Caenorhabditis elegans: one gene and its partner. The protein of the gene in region 2 interacts with the protein of the main gene of each other region in a pairwise test. Each region holds a gene or a part of one and is shown on either strand. Other genes may lie near its edges.

Evidence for each region. Proteins that work in one complex are often made in the same cells at the same time.
Region 1: the proteins of ZK945.7 (region 2) and F31E8.4 interact in a two-hybrid assay, tested with the Caenorhabditis elegans proteins (one large-scale study listed by BioGRID).

Annotation. Positions count from the first base shown.
Region 1 is NC_003280.10:6,797,134-6,804,411, reverse strand, and holds F31E8.4 (Copper transport protein), read left to right. Parts: upstream 1-4,257; 5' UTR 4,258-4,267; coding exon 4,268-4,346; intron 4,347-4,428; coding exon 4,429-4,633; intron 4,634-4,683; coding exon 4,684-4,744; intron 4,745-4,832; coding exon 4,833-4,976; 3' UTR 4,977-5,169; coding exon of another isoform or gene 5,170-5,266; 3' UTR 5,267-5,301; downstream 5,302-7,278. Other genes in the region: tab-1 (Homeobox domain-containing protein), read right to left, coding at 1-217, 535-654; T13C2.2 (uncharacterized protein), read right to left, coding at 5,170-5,266, 5,313-5,625, 5,667-5,763.
Region 2 is NC_003280.10:10,104,957-10,112,218, reverse strand, and holds ZK945.7 (uncharacterized protein), read left to right. Parts: upstream 1-3,741; 5' UTR 3,742-3,814; coding exon 3,815-3,953; intron 3,954-3,996; coding exon 3,997-4,164; intron 4,165-4,211; coding exon 4,212-4,589; intron 4,590-4,632; coding exon 4,633-4,697; 3' UTR 4,698-4,746; downstream 4,747-7,262. Other genes in the region: lov-1 (Location of vulva defective 1), read left to right, coding at 1-712, 760-965, 1,011-1,306, 1,350-1,898, 1,942-2,316, 2,369-2,612, 2,671-2,940; ZK945.8 (PPP1R11/YPI1 family protein), read right to left, coding at 3,141-3,352, 3,400-3,517; ZK945.6 (Ovule protein), read left to right, coding at 5,317-5,347, 5,394-5,501, 5,554-5,721, 5,765-6,108; putative RING finger protein ZK945.4, read left to right, coding at 6,523-6,613, 6,662-6,953, 7,235-7,262.

The DNA of each region.
Region 1 (7,278 bases), 3.3 Mb from region 2:
TTCTATACGCTTTAGTTGCATTTGACAATCGAATCTGATCAGCTGTTGACCAGAATCCAGGAAAAACTCCATTTCGTTGAGCCAACAAGAGACTATGTTCTATTGGAAACGCTGCTGCTGCAAGCCAAAGCTGATCAGAAAGAGCAGGAGTGATTGTGGGAGTTAATTCATTTGTCAATGGAACTGACATTACGGATATCGATGATTTTTCTGATCCCTGGAAGTAAACCGATAGAGTAATTTTTGATGATCAAATTTACATATTTTATTGAAATATTACTTGTTGAATTTAAGTAATTGTGAAAGAACAAGCATCACATCAAGGAAACAAAATATTTTTTAATGAAGTTGCGACTTATTTTGAATCAATTTTAAAGAAATCATTGACCAAAGGCCAAAAAAAACGGAAAAATTATATTTAAATTCAATTTTGATAATTGAGCGAAATACATTCCTGATATGTTTGTTTAAATATTTGCAGAGTGCCTATGGTGACTACAAAACCCAAACGAGAAAAATAGTTTAAGAACATACCTCATCTGAACTTGATTGGGGAGTGGGCGATGTTTGATCAAGCTTCAGAATTCTTTGAATTTCGTTTGAATGCCCACGAAGAAGATCATCAATTGAAAAACTTGATACAGGAGTTATCATTTTCAAATAAGTTTGAAGATTATTTTACGGGAGGTAAGATTCTCGTGTAAATGAGCTAACACGGTAATATGGTGCTCCCATAGGAGCACAATGGGTGGAGCTTCAGACGGCATCGGAAGGGGGCGGAGTCGGCGAATAGAGATGAAGGTCCCGTGAAAGACGACAAGGAGAAGAAGAAAAAAGAGTTGATGAGAGGGATAATGATTGTGAATGACAGTATTGCCGTAGGCAATATTGTAGGCGGTTGATGAAAGAATAAACAACCACTTAAGTGACGATGAGCAAAATATGGAAATTGATTGTCTCGTAATGTTCAGTACTAGAATAAAATATTGAAACTAATCAGTTGTGTCATTTTCGATCAGTCGTGTATTATGATGACGTGTTCATTTTTTGTATATGGTCTGGAGTCTTCTTTTCTTGCCAGTTTTGATGATCTGGAATAGTATATCTAGCATATAGGTGAAATTAAAATTCCAATAAAAACAAAACGTAATTTACATAATGTTTTCAAACCTCAAATATCTCATCAAGAAATTGGAAAAGCTTAGCAATCAACTCAATTTCTGAAAATTTTCAAATGGTCTACAAAAGATTCTTGGCCAAATACTCTAGAAGTATTAACTTGATTGACAAAATAATTTTGATTTTGCAAACTCTTCAAATTCACTAACGATGTAAGTCTTGTACTTATTCTTAAAATTTTGTACTTATTCAGGCATGCCTACTACGCACCTTTCAGTACTTTTGTGGTAGACAAAGGCCACAGGCAGTGTTTGTGCCTACATGAAAAGCCTACTTACAGCCGTTTTCCACTTTTGGCACAATTCGACCTCTCATGCTCATCATCTCCCTCTAATTACGTGTTTATGTTACAATACAATGCGATTGAGCCAGTACAATAACAATAACAAGTGTGAACGTGTTGAGAGCGACACGCGTCTAGTAATAGTCATTGTGCAACTGAGCAATTTGAACCTTTCCACAGATGTTCACCACTTCCCCAACAACTTGTGCATTTTTTGTGCATATCACTGTACCCCTTCAAACGTTTTAAAGCTTGGAGAGAAAATAGGGAAAGACGACTGGCTGACCTGACTAAACGAAGAAATTGAGCATCGAGTAACGAAGACTATTATTGCATTATAGACGGCAGAAGCGCTAGAAGGCTTTTAACTTATTATGTTGAGTAGACATACTCACACAAACTTATTAGCAACAAGAGGAGTAAGACCTGCTGTGCAAAATATTGTTGCCACGTCATCAAATACAAGACAAAGAATATTAAGAAAAGTTCCTTCCGTTTACATGTCACACTTAATTATAACTGGCTCTATGGGTACTTTGAACATTTGACACCTCATGACTTGCTCTATTGTTTCTTGAGTCACCGCAAAAAGGTGTCCTGTGGTGAGCTCCAATGTAACATAGTTCCAGAAGAATTACTTCATCATCACTCCTCCCTCATACTCGTGGTGTTAATACAAAAACTTATGCATATGCAATACAGCAATTATTCCCAATTAGTTAGCGGATTTCACTACCGTAGAAGAAGTAGTCGTTGTATTGAAGCTTCTATTTCATCACAATTGGCATGCTGTTTTGTCGGTATATAGCTCATCATTGAAAACGCGCTCATTATTCTTACGAAAATCTGTGTGATTTTAGTGGAAAACAAGATTTGATGAGAAGATGTTTTGCAAATTAGTGAGAAGAGAATTCTGCAATTAATGAAGGATTTTAAGCAAAGGAGATTTTTCAGAAAGTAGAAGAAAATAGTTATTAAACATTTGAAAAATTCAGATTCAAATTTTCAAAAAGCAAATTCTCACACTCTTGACAGTCTTTTCAAAAAAATAAACATCTTCAAGTATTTTCCATGTACAAATTTGATAAAGAACGGACCAGCAGGAAGCCAGCCATTATCAGCCCCTAGTTATACCTGCTTGTTGGGTTCATTATTTAAAAAGAAGGGTTCATATTTAAAAACTATGCACACTCCCACTATTACTAAACTTGCCTGAACTCGATGCATGACCGCGTCACTTGTCCCAAAATATCACTAATGGATGGATTATTTAAGATAAAATTTTTAAATGTAGTCAGAAAAAATTTCCTAGTTATTTGCTAACACGATAATCGTATACATTTCAAATTATATGTACATTCTAAAATGCGGGAACCATAATGACCCTTTCGTATTCTGATCACCACCTTTAGCACTAATTCCAAATGATTCCCACTTGAACCCGTGTGCAGGTGAGAAGAGTCGGCAAACCGATAAACGCATTTTCAAAAACTGTATCCGAAGGATTAGTGTTGAGATAAAGTAAGTGCGTCTGGTGCGACATCTCTCTTGCTTTCCGTAATCTTTTGACAGACAGCTCTTCTTTTTGATTGGGATGTGTAGCAACAACTAATGAATTGAGCAAATATTGCACTAATGGCACGCATGTGCCGACACACTCACAGACACCTACAAAAACAATAGAATAACATACTGTTGGATTACGGTCTTCCTAATTGGATGAGCAAATGGGAAAACTTATTGAGAACTGTTGTTGCGATGTGAAAGGGGGTGTGCTTTCTAGATCAATAAAACATTATTAAATTTCTGGTTCACCTCAATTACTTAATGATTGCCGACATTTTTTGGAATTTATGTGTAACAAAGTTGTTACGGTAGAACACATTACAGCTGTGCAACATTTTGGCATTACCTCGATAATTTATGAAACGTTCTCAGTAATAGCTCAAAACCCATTTTGACCGTAAACTTCGAACTCAACGTGTTGATAAATAATTTTTTGAAAAATCATTCTGGGCCTAGTACGTAAACGCATTATCGCAGACTTTTCCCAGAATTCTGAAATTTTATTAAATTATTGTGCAATGCGAATTACCATATTTTTTAACTCAGATTGCAACTAATTTTTCGACTTGAATCAGCATAAACTAATGCTCGAAATAACTTCGCATTCCGTTTTGATAAAATGTGTTCAAACTATTTGTATATTCTTATAAAATCTATCATAGGTTCAAACTTTTCATTTTCAAAACCAATATCAATTTTACTACTCGAGAAATACTGAATGAATTATAAACAAAATTTGCAGGTTAATTCAATAGTGTTATCACATCAGGAAGTTGTATCACACACCGTTATTGTTTACATTCGTTCTCAATGAAAGTAACAAAATGTCATCTGTCTCTCTGACTATCAAACCATTTTCCCACATCCAAATGCCCTTTTCCTGCCTGCTCGCTTGCTTGCCTAGCGTTGGTGATAGACTTGGGTATTGCATGGAGAAATGAGAAGACACAGACGGAGAATGACTCGTAGTCTGTCTCGTAAATCGACACGATAAAATAACTAGACATTTCTCTTCTCTCTGACCATTCCCATTCATCCGATTTCTCTCGATTCTGCATTGATTCTTACTCTTTCTCGTTTCATTTTTTATATTTTCCGAACGTTTTTTTTTTTGAAAATAGCATGTGATATGCTTGTGAAGTGTAAATAAACTTTATCTAATCAATGGCCCGTTCGGTTGTAATGTCTTCTTGCTCTTTTTCAACTTCTCTTTAATCCAAAAATATCGATTTGCAGAAAATGGACATGGATATGACTCTGCACTTTGGAGAACGCGAGAAGATTCTCTTCAGCTGGTGGAAAACTGGATCTCTGTCTGGTAAGTCTATATACTTCGGACACATTCAAATTTGCAAAACAATTAAAAATTAAGTTGATGAAATACACAAATAAATTTCCAGGAATGGCAGTCTCCATGCTTATAACCTTCCTTCTCTGTATTCTCTACGAAGCCATCAAATCATTCCGTTACTTCCTCGCAGTATGGAATAATCAAAAGAGACAACAGAGACATGCAGAAGCATCCATTACAAATCCACAAAATAGTGGAGGAGACAATATTTCTGAAGATTCTATTCACATCGCACCACTTGTTCAGTTATCTGGGTATGTCTTACAAGAAGTTTTTGATAGAAATCGTATTATTGAAATTTCAGATTTACAAAACGGCTGTTCACCTCGTACCGGCTTGCTCAAGGAGCTCTCTACGGACTTCAGGTAATTATAACGTTTAATTGTATAAAAGTGAATTTTCTATAAGACAATATTTACGAATTCTTAATATTTCAATAATCTAAATTTTCAGGCTCTCCTTGCTTACACTCTTATGCTGATTGCTATGACTTACAACATGAACCTAATTCTCTCAATTGTTGTCGGAGAAGCTGTTGGATATTTCTTGTTCACTGGAAACCCACTTGTTGAGCAACATCTCACAGATTGTTGCTGATCTTTCATGTAAATTTCACTCTAAAATCTCGACTTTTTCCATCATTCCAAACACATTACGACCAAAAATATTAAATCTTCATGTATTCTGTTGTTACTGGTACCTCACCCATGTTTGCTTTGTTTTTTCAATTTTTCTTTGTAACATTTTCAAAAAATCAATTCATTCAAATATCTCATAACTTATTCATACATTACAATTTTCTTTGTTCATTGACTAGATCGATTTGCACGTTTCGAAGTTGGCCATTTGGCATTCTTTGATTGTAAATTGGGCGAATTTGTTGTTGTCTGAATATTAAAAAATAAATATTTGCAACTTTAATTCACATTTTACCGATAAGATCCAGTAATCTCTTCCGGAGATAGAATTCTTTCAATTACTTTTGGAATAATTGCTGTTGGTGCTGGAGCATAAGTACCGTAACCTGCCGATGGAGGCATTGTTGGCATTGCGCCAACTATTGAATCAACTTTTGATGGCTGAATTGCAATGTTTCCAGTGTTTCTAGTTGGTGGAAGTTGAAGATTTGATAGATCTCCTTGAATCTTGATTGAATTTGCTGGTCCAGTGGATGCAAACCGGTCAACATGAGTATCATATTTATCAAGAGCTCCATCATTCTGTCGGCGCGTCGGTAGAAATGAATCTAAAACATAAGTTTTATTGAACTAGATAACATTTTGGTACCTTGGAAGTTTTTCACAGGAGACTGCCGAATTTGGTTACCACTTGGAATTAGAACTTGTGGTAGATTTTGGGAACTGTTTTCAATGAACTTTGAAAGCTGAAAATATTTAAGAAATAATTTTACATTTTTGATAATTCAGAACACATTTCGTTTGGCAAAAATCTTTGCGAAAAAGATAGAGCCCAATGCCAAGTTGGTTGTTTTTGGCTTCATCAAAAAGCGACAAAAATGGTTATGCTTTTATGCAATACGAAAATTTTGCAACATTTTTCATTGCAAAAAACCAACTAATTGTTGAGTTACACAGAGTCAAACTCATTTTACCAAAAACCACTGAAATTTTTGAGATCGTTTATGCTCTAACAGTCTTAACCCAATTTTCGTTGAGTTTCAAAATAATCATGTTGTTAAACAATAAGTAAAAAATATTTTGCGACATTTCATCAATTATAAGTTTTTTCATATTTTCATGTTCACCTAACAAGGGAAGGTTCTGAACTCGTTATCGGACTTCGTTACGCCACTATATACATTCGATAGAGGATAGTTACAGATGATCCCTCCAAAAAATTTAGCTGCTTCAGAGCAGGTTTGGCCAAGTTGTGACGTCTTGAAGTTTGGTGCTGAAATTCCTCATATCAAGTGATATTTCAATGACTACCACGCTGCAGAAACACCAGTGAACTCACCACTCTCAATTAGCGTTAGCAAACATGGCTTGGTGGCCGAGTGGTAGTGGCGTGAGTTTCGAGGTGTGGTATTCGTGGTTCGGTTCCCCGTCAACATAAACTTTTTTTTTAATTTTTAAAGTCAATCCATTTCCAATTAGAACACATCTATAAACTTTTTCAAGTGGGAAAATATGCAGATATTATCCCTATGAATCAAATGCGTCAATTCTCCAAATTTTTCCGATTTTTTTTTCTCAATATGTGTTATAGTTAAAAGCACAATAAAACAGATGTTTAAAGTTTATGTAAAAAACAAACGAACGATGCCAATATTAAAAAAAAAAACAAAAGCAACATATAATATACTCAACAATGGCTTTTAACACTTACACTTATGAGCTGGGAAGCCGCATCCAACCCAGTGGTTAAAGCATAAAACCTTCTTACAGTATGGGCAAAGAAGAAAAGCCGTATCTTGACACATCGTATCTCTCGTTTTCTTTTGCGAACAGTATCCAGAAACTTTGAAACAAAATTTGGATGGAGTTTCCACTTTGACATGTTGGTCATCTATGTATCCTCCTTGGATCCAGCCGTACTTCCAGCATGATTGGAAAATTGGTGCACGAAAGACACGGTACACTGCAGATATCACGCGAAGCAGGTTGTCACGCTCTGACGTCTTGAAGGTGATACCGGAGTAGATGATGTACGCGTTCACCTTTTTGACGAAATTCTTCAACGGACAGAAAAAGTAAAGATCGCAAGGTTGAATAAATGATGTAGCTCCTGGTGGAATAGATCTCACATGTACTGTATTTCCGGATAATGCTGCAGCTTGAACATCCCCTTCGTTTTTCCAAGCAGGCCAAGCGTCTAGAAGCTGGACAACCTCGGTTGGCATCGAAGGATCACAAACAGCGGATTCAACCCAGTCGAC
Region 2 (7,262 bases):
GGAGACGGAGAGACTGAAAGACTAGCGCGAGTGGAGTATAAGCGAAGGTTTTTGGATGAGTCAATGAGTATGCATATGCTGGCTCAAACAATTTCCTGGTTTGCCATGTTTACTGGTGGAGGCAATCGGTTGAGGGATCGAGTGTCAAGGCAAGACTATTCTGTCAGTATCATCTTCTCACTTGTTGTGGTCAGCATGATTAGCATCACAATTCTGAAGAGCGATAATTCGATTATCAGTGATTCGAAGAGTGTCTCCGAGTTCACTTTCACTATAAAAGATATTGCATTCGGAGTTGGATTCGGTGTTCTTATCACTTTCCTCAACTCATTGCACATTTTATTATGCACCAAATGTCGTTCCCACAGTGAACATTACTACTACAAAAAACGAAAGAGAGAGGATCCGGAATTCAAGGATAATAGTGGTTCATGGCCGATGTTCATGGCTGGGATGGCACGTACCATCATAGTATTTCCAGTTCTCATGGGTCTTATTTATATTTCTGGAGCTGGAATGAGCTTGATGGATGATTTAGCCAACTCTTTCTATATCCGATTTCTGATCAGTCTGATTCTATGGGCAGTGGTGTTCGAGCCAATTAAGGGATTGATTTGGGCGTTTTTAATTTTGAAAACCAGAAAGAGTCATAAAATCATTAACAAGTTGGAGGAAGCATTGCTAAGAGCTAAGCCAGCTGAGACGTTCTTGAGTAAGTTTTATAAAAAGAAGCTATCAGAATTCATTACTGAAATTCAGGAAATCCCTATGGGAAAATCGAAAAAGGTCTGGGAACCGAAATTGCTGATGTTACAAAGCTCCGAGACACTGAAAACCGAAAAATGAGAGATGAACAGTTATTTATAACCATTCGTGATATGCTTTGTTTCTTTGCTTCTTTGTATATTATGGTTATGCTGACATACTATTGCAAAGACCGGCATGGATATTGGTATCAGTTGGAGGTAGACTTTAATGCACATAGATTTAGATGAACTTATTATTTTCAGATGAGCACAATCTTGAACATCAATCAAAAGAACTACGGTGACAATACTTTCATGTCAATCCAACATGCTGACGATTTCTGGGATTGGGCTCGTGAATCTCTGGCCACTGCTCTTTTGGCTTCTTGGTACGACGGAAATCCTGCATACGGGATGAGAGCCTACATGAATGATAAAGTTTCAAGAAGTATGGGAATAGGTACGATACGGCAGGTTCGGACAAAGAAAAGTGCAGAGTGTACGATGTTCAAGCAGTTTCAAGGATACATCAATGATTGTGGAGAGGAGTTGACAAGCAAGTGAGTAAAAATCTTCAATTTCCAACTAATAGAGAGGTTTCAGAAACGAAGAAAAAACTTTGTACATGCAAGCTGGTTGGACCGAACTGGAATCCGAGAATGGAACAGATGCTTCAGATGAATACACCTACAAGACTTCTGAAGAATTATCCACTGAAACAGTTTCAGGCCTACTGTATAGCTATTCAGGAGGTGGATATACTATCAGTATGTCTGGTACCCAAGCGGAAATCATCACTCTCTTCAATAAACTTGATTCGGAACGATGGATCGATGATCATACTCGAGCAGTCATCATTGAGTTCTCTGCATACAATGCTCAAATCAACTACTTTTCGGTGGTACAGTTGTTGGTGGAGATTCCAAAGTCAGGAATTTATCTTCCTAATAGTTGGGTTGAATCAGTAAGACTTATCAAATCAGAGGGAAGCGATGGAACTGTGGTCAAGTATTATGAGATGCTTTACATCTTTTTCTCAGTTCTCATATTTGTAAAAGAGATTGTGTTCTACTTGTATGGGCGGTACAAGGTGATAACAACAATGAAACCAACGAGAAATCCATTCAAAATTGTGTATCAGCTGGCACTGGGGTGGGTCTAATGAGAACTTCAGTTTCAAAAAGACATTTTATAGAAACTTCTCACCATGGAACTTCATGGACTTGATAGTTGGAGCTCTCGCTGTTGCATCGGTCCTAGCCTACACCATCCGCCAACGAACCACAAATAGAGCAATGGAAGATTTCAATGCAAACAATGGAAATTCGTACATTAATTTGACTGAACAGAGAAATTGGGAGATTGTATTCAGTTATTGTCTTGCCGGAGCCGTATTCTTCACTTCTTGTAAAATGATTCGAATCTTGAGATTCAACAGAAGAATTGGAGTATTAGCGGCTACACTGGATAACGCTCTCGGAGCTATTGTGTCATTTGGAATTGCTTTCCTGTTCTTCAGCATGACATTCAACTCTGTATTGTACGCAGTTTTAGGAAATAAAATGGGAGGGTGAGGATGAAAACTTAATTGAAAGAAATCAATTTTTAAAAATTGGTTCCAGATATCGGAGCTTAATGGCTACCTTTCAAACAGCATTGGCTGGAATGCTTGGAAAACTTGATGTTACCTCTATTCAACCGATTTCTCAATTTGCGTTTGTTGTGATCATGCTTTATATGATTGCCGGATCAAAGCTCGTCCTGCAACTTTACGTCACTATAATTATGTTCGAGTTCGAGGAAATTCGTAATGACAGTGAGAAGCAGACCAATGATTACGAAATAATCGATCACATAAAATACAAGGTATTTATTTTTCAAGCTCACTATTAGATGTTCTTTAATTTCTGTTATTTAATTTCAGACAAAACGTCGCTTGGGTCTTCTTGAACCAAAAGATTTTGCTCCAGTTTCAATTGCTGACACTCAAAAAGACTTCCGTCTATTCCACAGCGCTGTTGCCAAAGTCAATCTGCTTCATCATCGTGCCACCAGAATGCTCCAAACTCAAGGTCAATACCAAAACCAAACAGTCATCAACTACACACTCTCCTATGATCCTGTCTCTGCTATTCACGAAACTGGACCAAAGAGATTCCAGAAGTGGCGGCTAAACGATGTGGAGAAAGATTGATTTTTGAGGGCTACCTAATTTGGATATCAAGAATAAATAATTGTGTTAATAGTTTGTTTTTCAGTTTTTTTTTCATTTTTATGACCGCAGAAAAGTAATATTCAATACAAAAACATAAGAACAAAGGCATGATGGGTCATTTAGATTAATTTACAATAAAATCTACATAAATTTCCTAATAATTTTTAAATCTTCGAGTTTCAACAATGATCACATCCACAATTTCCCTTATCTTCATCTTTATCGCTACCATGTCCTCCTTGTGGCTTTTGCTTCTTCTCTGGAAGAGTATGTCCACGACAGTGCTCCGTCTCATGCTCCTCCGGCTCCCAAGTTGACGGATCATCCCAGACACGAGGCGGAGTGTAGATGCAACAGCAATTGGATTTGAGACGTCCCATGTGTTCGTTATCTAAAGTTTAAGTATTTTTCAAGACTTTTTAATATAAATTCACTCACCAATTACTCCCGCTCCCCAAGTGACACGTGGACGCTCAACTGGAGCTCTCAGGCGGAGCACAAGCTGCTCTCCTTCTTCGTTGGTTTGACAAGTTTCCGTTACGACGGGGGCTTGCATCGTACGACTGTGTAGTTGATGTACGAAATGAATAAAACTTTGAATTTTTTCCCTGGAATCGTGGACTTACACTTTTATTTATTTGACAATTTATATATATTTAAAATGCCATGATTCCACTATAAAAAGTTCAAATTTCAAAAAAATTTATAAATTTCAAAAAAAAAATTGAACTTTTAACGTGAACTTTTGAATTCCCCTTACCTCCCCCTTGCCACACTAACAATTTATTGCTACATACTCGTCCGACAACCTCAACCGTCGGATTAAACAATCTGCTCAATTGATTGGTTAGCTATGGCTTCCTCGTTCGACAACCAAATGGATCAGGATGGAATGTGCTCCGTGTACTCTGCTCAGCCATCGGAGACAAATTGCTCCATCAATGAGGTGCTTGCCAAAGAAATTATCGCTGTCAATGAGACGCCAGATGATCGTAAGTTTTTATTGTCTTTTTTTTGGGAATATTGAGTTTACAGAAGCTGATTCTTCGATCTACCCAATCCCAAAATCAGAAACAAATGTGTCAGCTAGCGAAGGGTTCCAGCCATGTCAAGATATCAATCAATTCAATTTGTCCGTTTACTCTGCTCCAAAATCCGAGACCCCAGTGACCATGAATGAGAAGTTCGAGCGGTGCAAAGACTGTAAGTTAACTGCAACAACTCTATCTTGAAAAACCAAAAATTTTCAGTGATGAACGTTCTTGACTACTCTGTCTACTCAATGCCACCATCAGAAGCAAATGTTACAATGAATGTTGCAAGCTTCTCGGAGTACACTGCCCTTGCCTCGGAGACCAACGTCACAATGGCTGATGTTCTCAAGAACGTTGCTCAGGATTTGGCGTCAGAGCACACTGCAAAATCAGCTCATCCAACATTCGACACCACCGCCTACGTAGAGCGCCTTCAAGCCGAGCTCGGGATTCCGGATAGCAAAGTGATTGGATTGGAGTGCAGCAATTTTTCGAATGCGAAGATCATTGATTCAATTGAATGCCTTCATCAGTTGGACAAATTCCAACCAATCCCGGTGGATTTCGATCAGAATCCTGATTTTGGAAAAACTGGTAAGAGTGAAGTTTATTTAAGAAATAATATTTTCAATTTCAGCCAAATCTGTGGAAAGCTACCTCTTGCGTTCATCCAATGCCAGTTCAATCCATCACGAGATCTGAAGAATCGGAACAAATTATTGAACTTGGTCTATAAAAAATGTCGAATCATTTTTGTTGTTGTCTATGCATTCGTAATTTCTTGGTTTTTTGTATAGCAAATTTTTTGATGACTATTACGATAGTTCATGGAAACGAGACTTGTGCCTGGCCGCCTTTTGCACACATGAAAGCGAGGCGGACAAAATGAGCCCCGTCATGGCTCCCGGGTTGAACACCTAACAAGACGGGAATTCTTCTAAAAAGAGTTGTCTTATCCCTATAAATCTGAAATTTGCATCAATTCTTCACCCGCCCTTGTTGCGATCTACCAGCCTCGTGGTTCTAAGTTACTTCTACCATGCTATTTAATGTTAACTGTACATAAAATGTGGTGCTTCTTCTCAATTTCCATTATTTCCTACTTTTTGAGAGAACTGTTCGAAAGGAGTTGCCTCTGTGAGCATCTATAAATTCTTTGTACAAGTTTTCACCAATCACGTGGCAACCGTGTTCTTTAAATTTTTATAAAATTAAATGTTTTCACGTCTTTCCTACTAATGCCTCAATGTTCATTTTCTTATATTCAAAATTTCATTTCAAAAAAATTTTCAAATCGATCACATCTCGAGAGATCATAATCATGGAGTGTTCTCAGGAAGATGTCGTCAATGGTAATTTTACTGAGTTTGTCATGCCGTCTGAACCGTAGAATTTCAGATTTCATTGCTCTCGAAAAGATTGGTTCAGAAGTGGATATCAATTTGGATGGAGTCATCAAAAGCAAGGAGTGTAGTAACACGAACGAAGCAGATATTATTAGTAACTGTGAGTTGCCTTTAAACGATTTCAGATGATCTTGAATCACCAGATTTTTCAGTGATAACCGCAATCGAAGAATCTTTGAGTTGTACATCGGTCTGCACAGCTGTATCATTGGAGACAGTGGCACAAAAGTTGGATGCCTATGCAGATCCTTCTTTGAATACTCAGATGTCTTTCAGTACAGCATCGGATTTGAGTTCTATGGAACAAGATTATGTTAAAGGTGGGATTCCGTCTCAATTAAATTTTAAAAAATTTATTTTCAGCTTCAGATGATCCTTTCGACCTCAATCATCAACCGTCGCCGCTCCAAGTCTGGCGTGATCAAGGCAAAATCACCGGATTTCAAATGATGTGTGATGATCAGAAGGTTACTGTAGTTGATTCTCTGGAGTGCTTAGCTCAATCGGAGCAACATTTGGAACCAGTTTACTTCGATCCACGTGTCAACCTTGCTATTCCGTGCCCGCCAGATGATTTTGAGATTCTTGAAGACTATGGTTCAACATCCAATGCATCAGTCAATTCGGATGACGCTTCAACCGCAGAACTTGGTCCGACGTCTGAAGAGTTTGAAGAATGGGTTCGGAAAATTGAACAGAACTATTGAATAGCTATTTGATAAAATACATTTTTTCTCATTGAAGATAATAGTTTTGCATATCTGACTCTGCGTCTCCAAAGTCTAAAACGAGTTGAAAACAACAACTGCCTAGGCCCCCTGTCGCCTCGCGTGTGCACATTATACTCTTTCTACTTTTGTTCCTCGCGCTCTCTTTTTCTAGTTTTCGAACACTCTCTGCATATCAAGAATATTCAAAGTGTTTTCTTTCTCTGTTTGATCTCCGGAAATTGCTCCAAATTTACACAAATTTGTGGTCAATTGGTGTCATCGCGCTGTTTCTTGTTTCGTATTCGTTTTTCGTATTTTAAACGAACATTTTCGTTTTCAACAACGACAATAACGAAATTTCCCATTCATTTCATACACTCGAATATTTTTTCTTCGTTTCCAGAACTTGCCATGAATATGCTCCGCTGCTTTCCGGAGTGTGGGATTTGCGGGCAGGAGTATTCAGAAGACGAAAAGCTCCTAATCCCTAGAATTTTGACTGGTACACCGTGTGTTTTGATTCTTAATTAAAAATTATTTTATCTTCCAGAATGTGGTCACACGATTTGTACAGGATGTGCAGGAAAAATAAAAGGACAGTCTTCGATAATCGCATGCCCATTTGATCGAATTGAGACGAGAATTTGGAAAAAAGATGTGACGAGACTCAAAAAGAATTTTAGTATTCTGGAAATCAAACAAGAGGTGAAAGATCGAAAGAACCGAGTAATTTCGGAAAAGAATGAGAAAAAGGAGAGGAATAAGAATGGAGTCTGTGATGAGAACACGAATCATCACGCTTCGAATTATTGTGAGACATGCGACGCCGATTTATGTGAAGAGTTAGTTGAAATATTATCAGTTTCACAAGATTTTGACATGGCTTTTTAAAGGCGCACTCATTTATTTAGATGAGTCTCGGCGCGCAAGAAAAAGTTTATGGTAGTTTTTTTTTCAATTTTTGCGGTCCAGAATAAATTTTAAAAAAAACTATGAAAATGAACGAGAGGGCCGCAAAGAAGCTACCATAAACGTTTTGCGCGACGAGACCCATATAAATAATCCCGTGCGCCTTTTGGAAGTCATTTTAAAATCTTGATCAGAAAATAATAAATATTTTTAGATGCTGGACGTGGATTCATTCTATATCC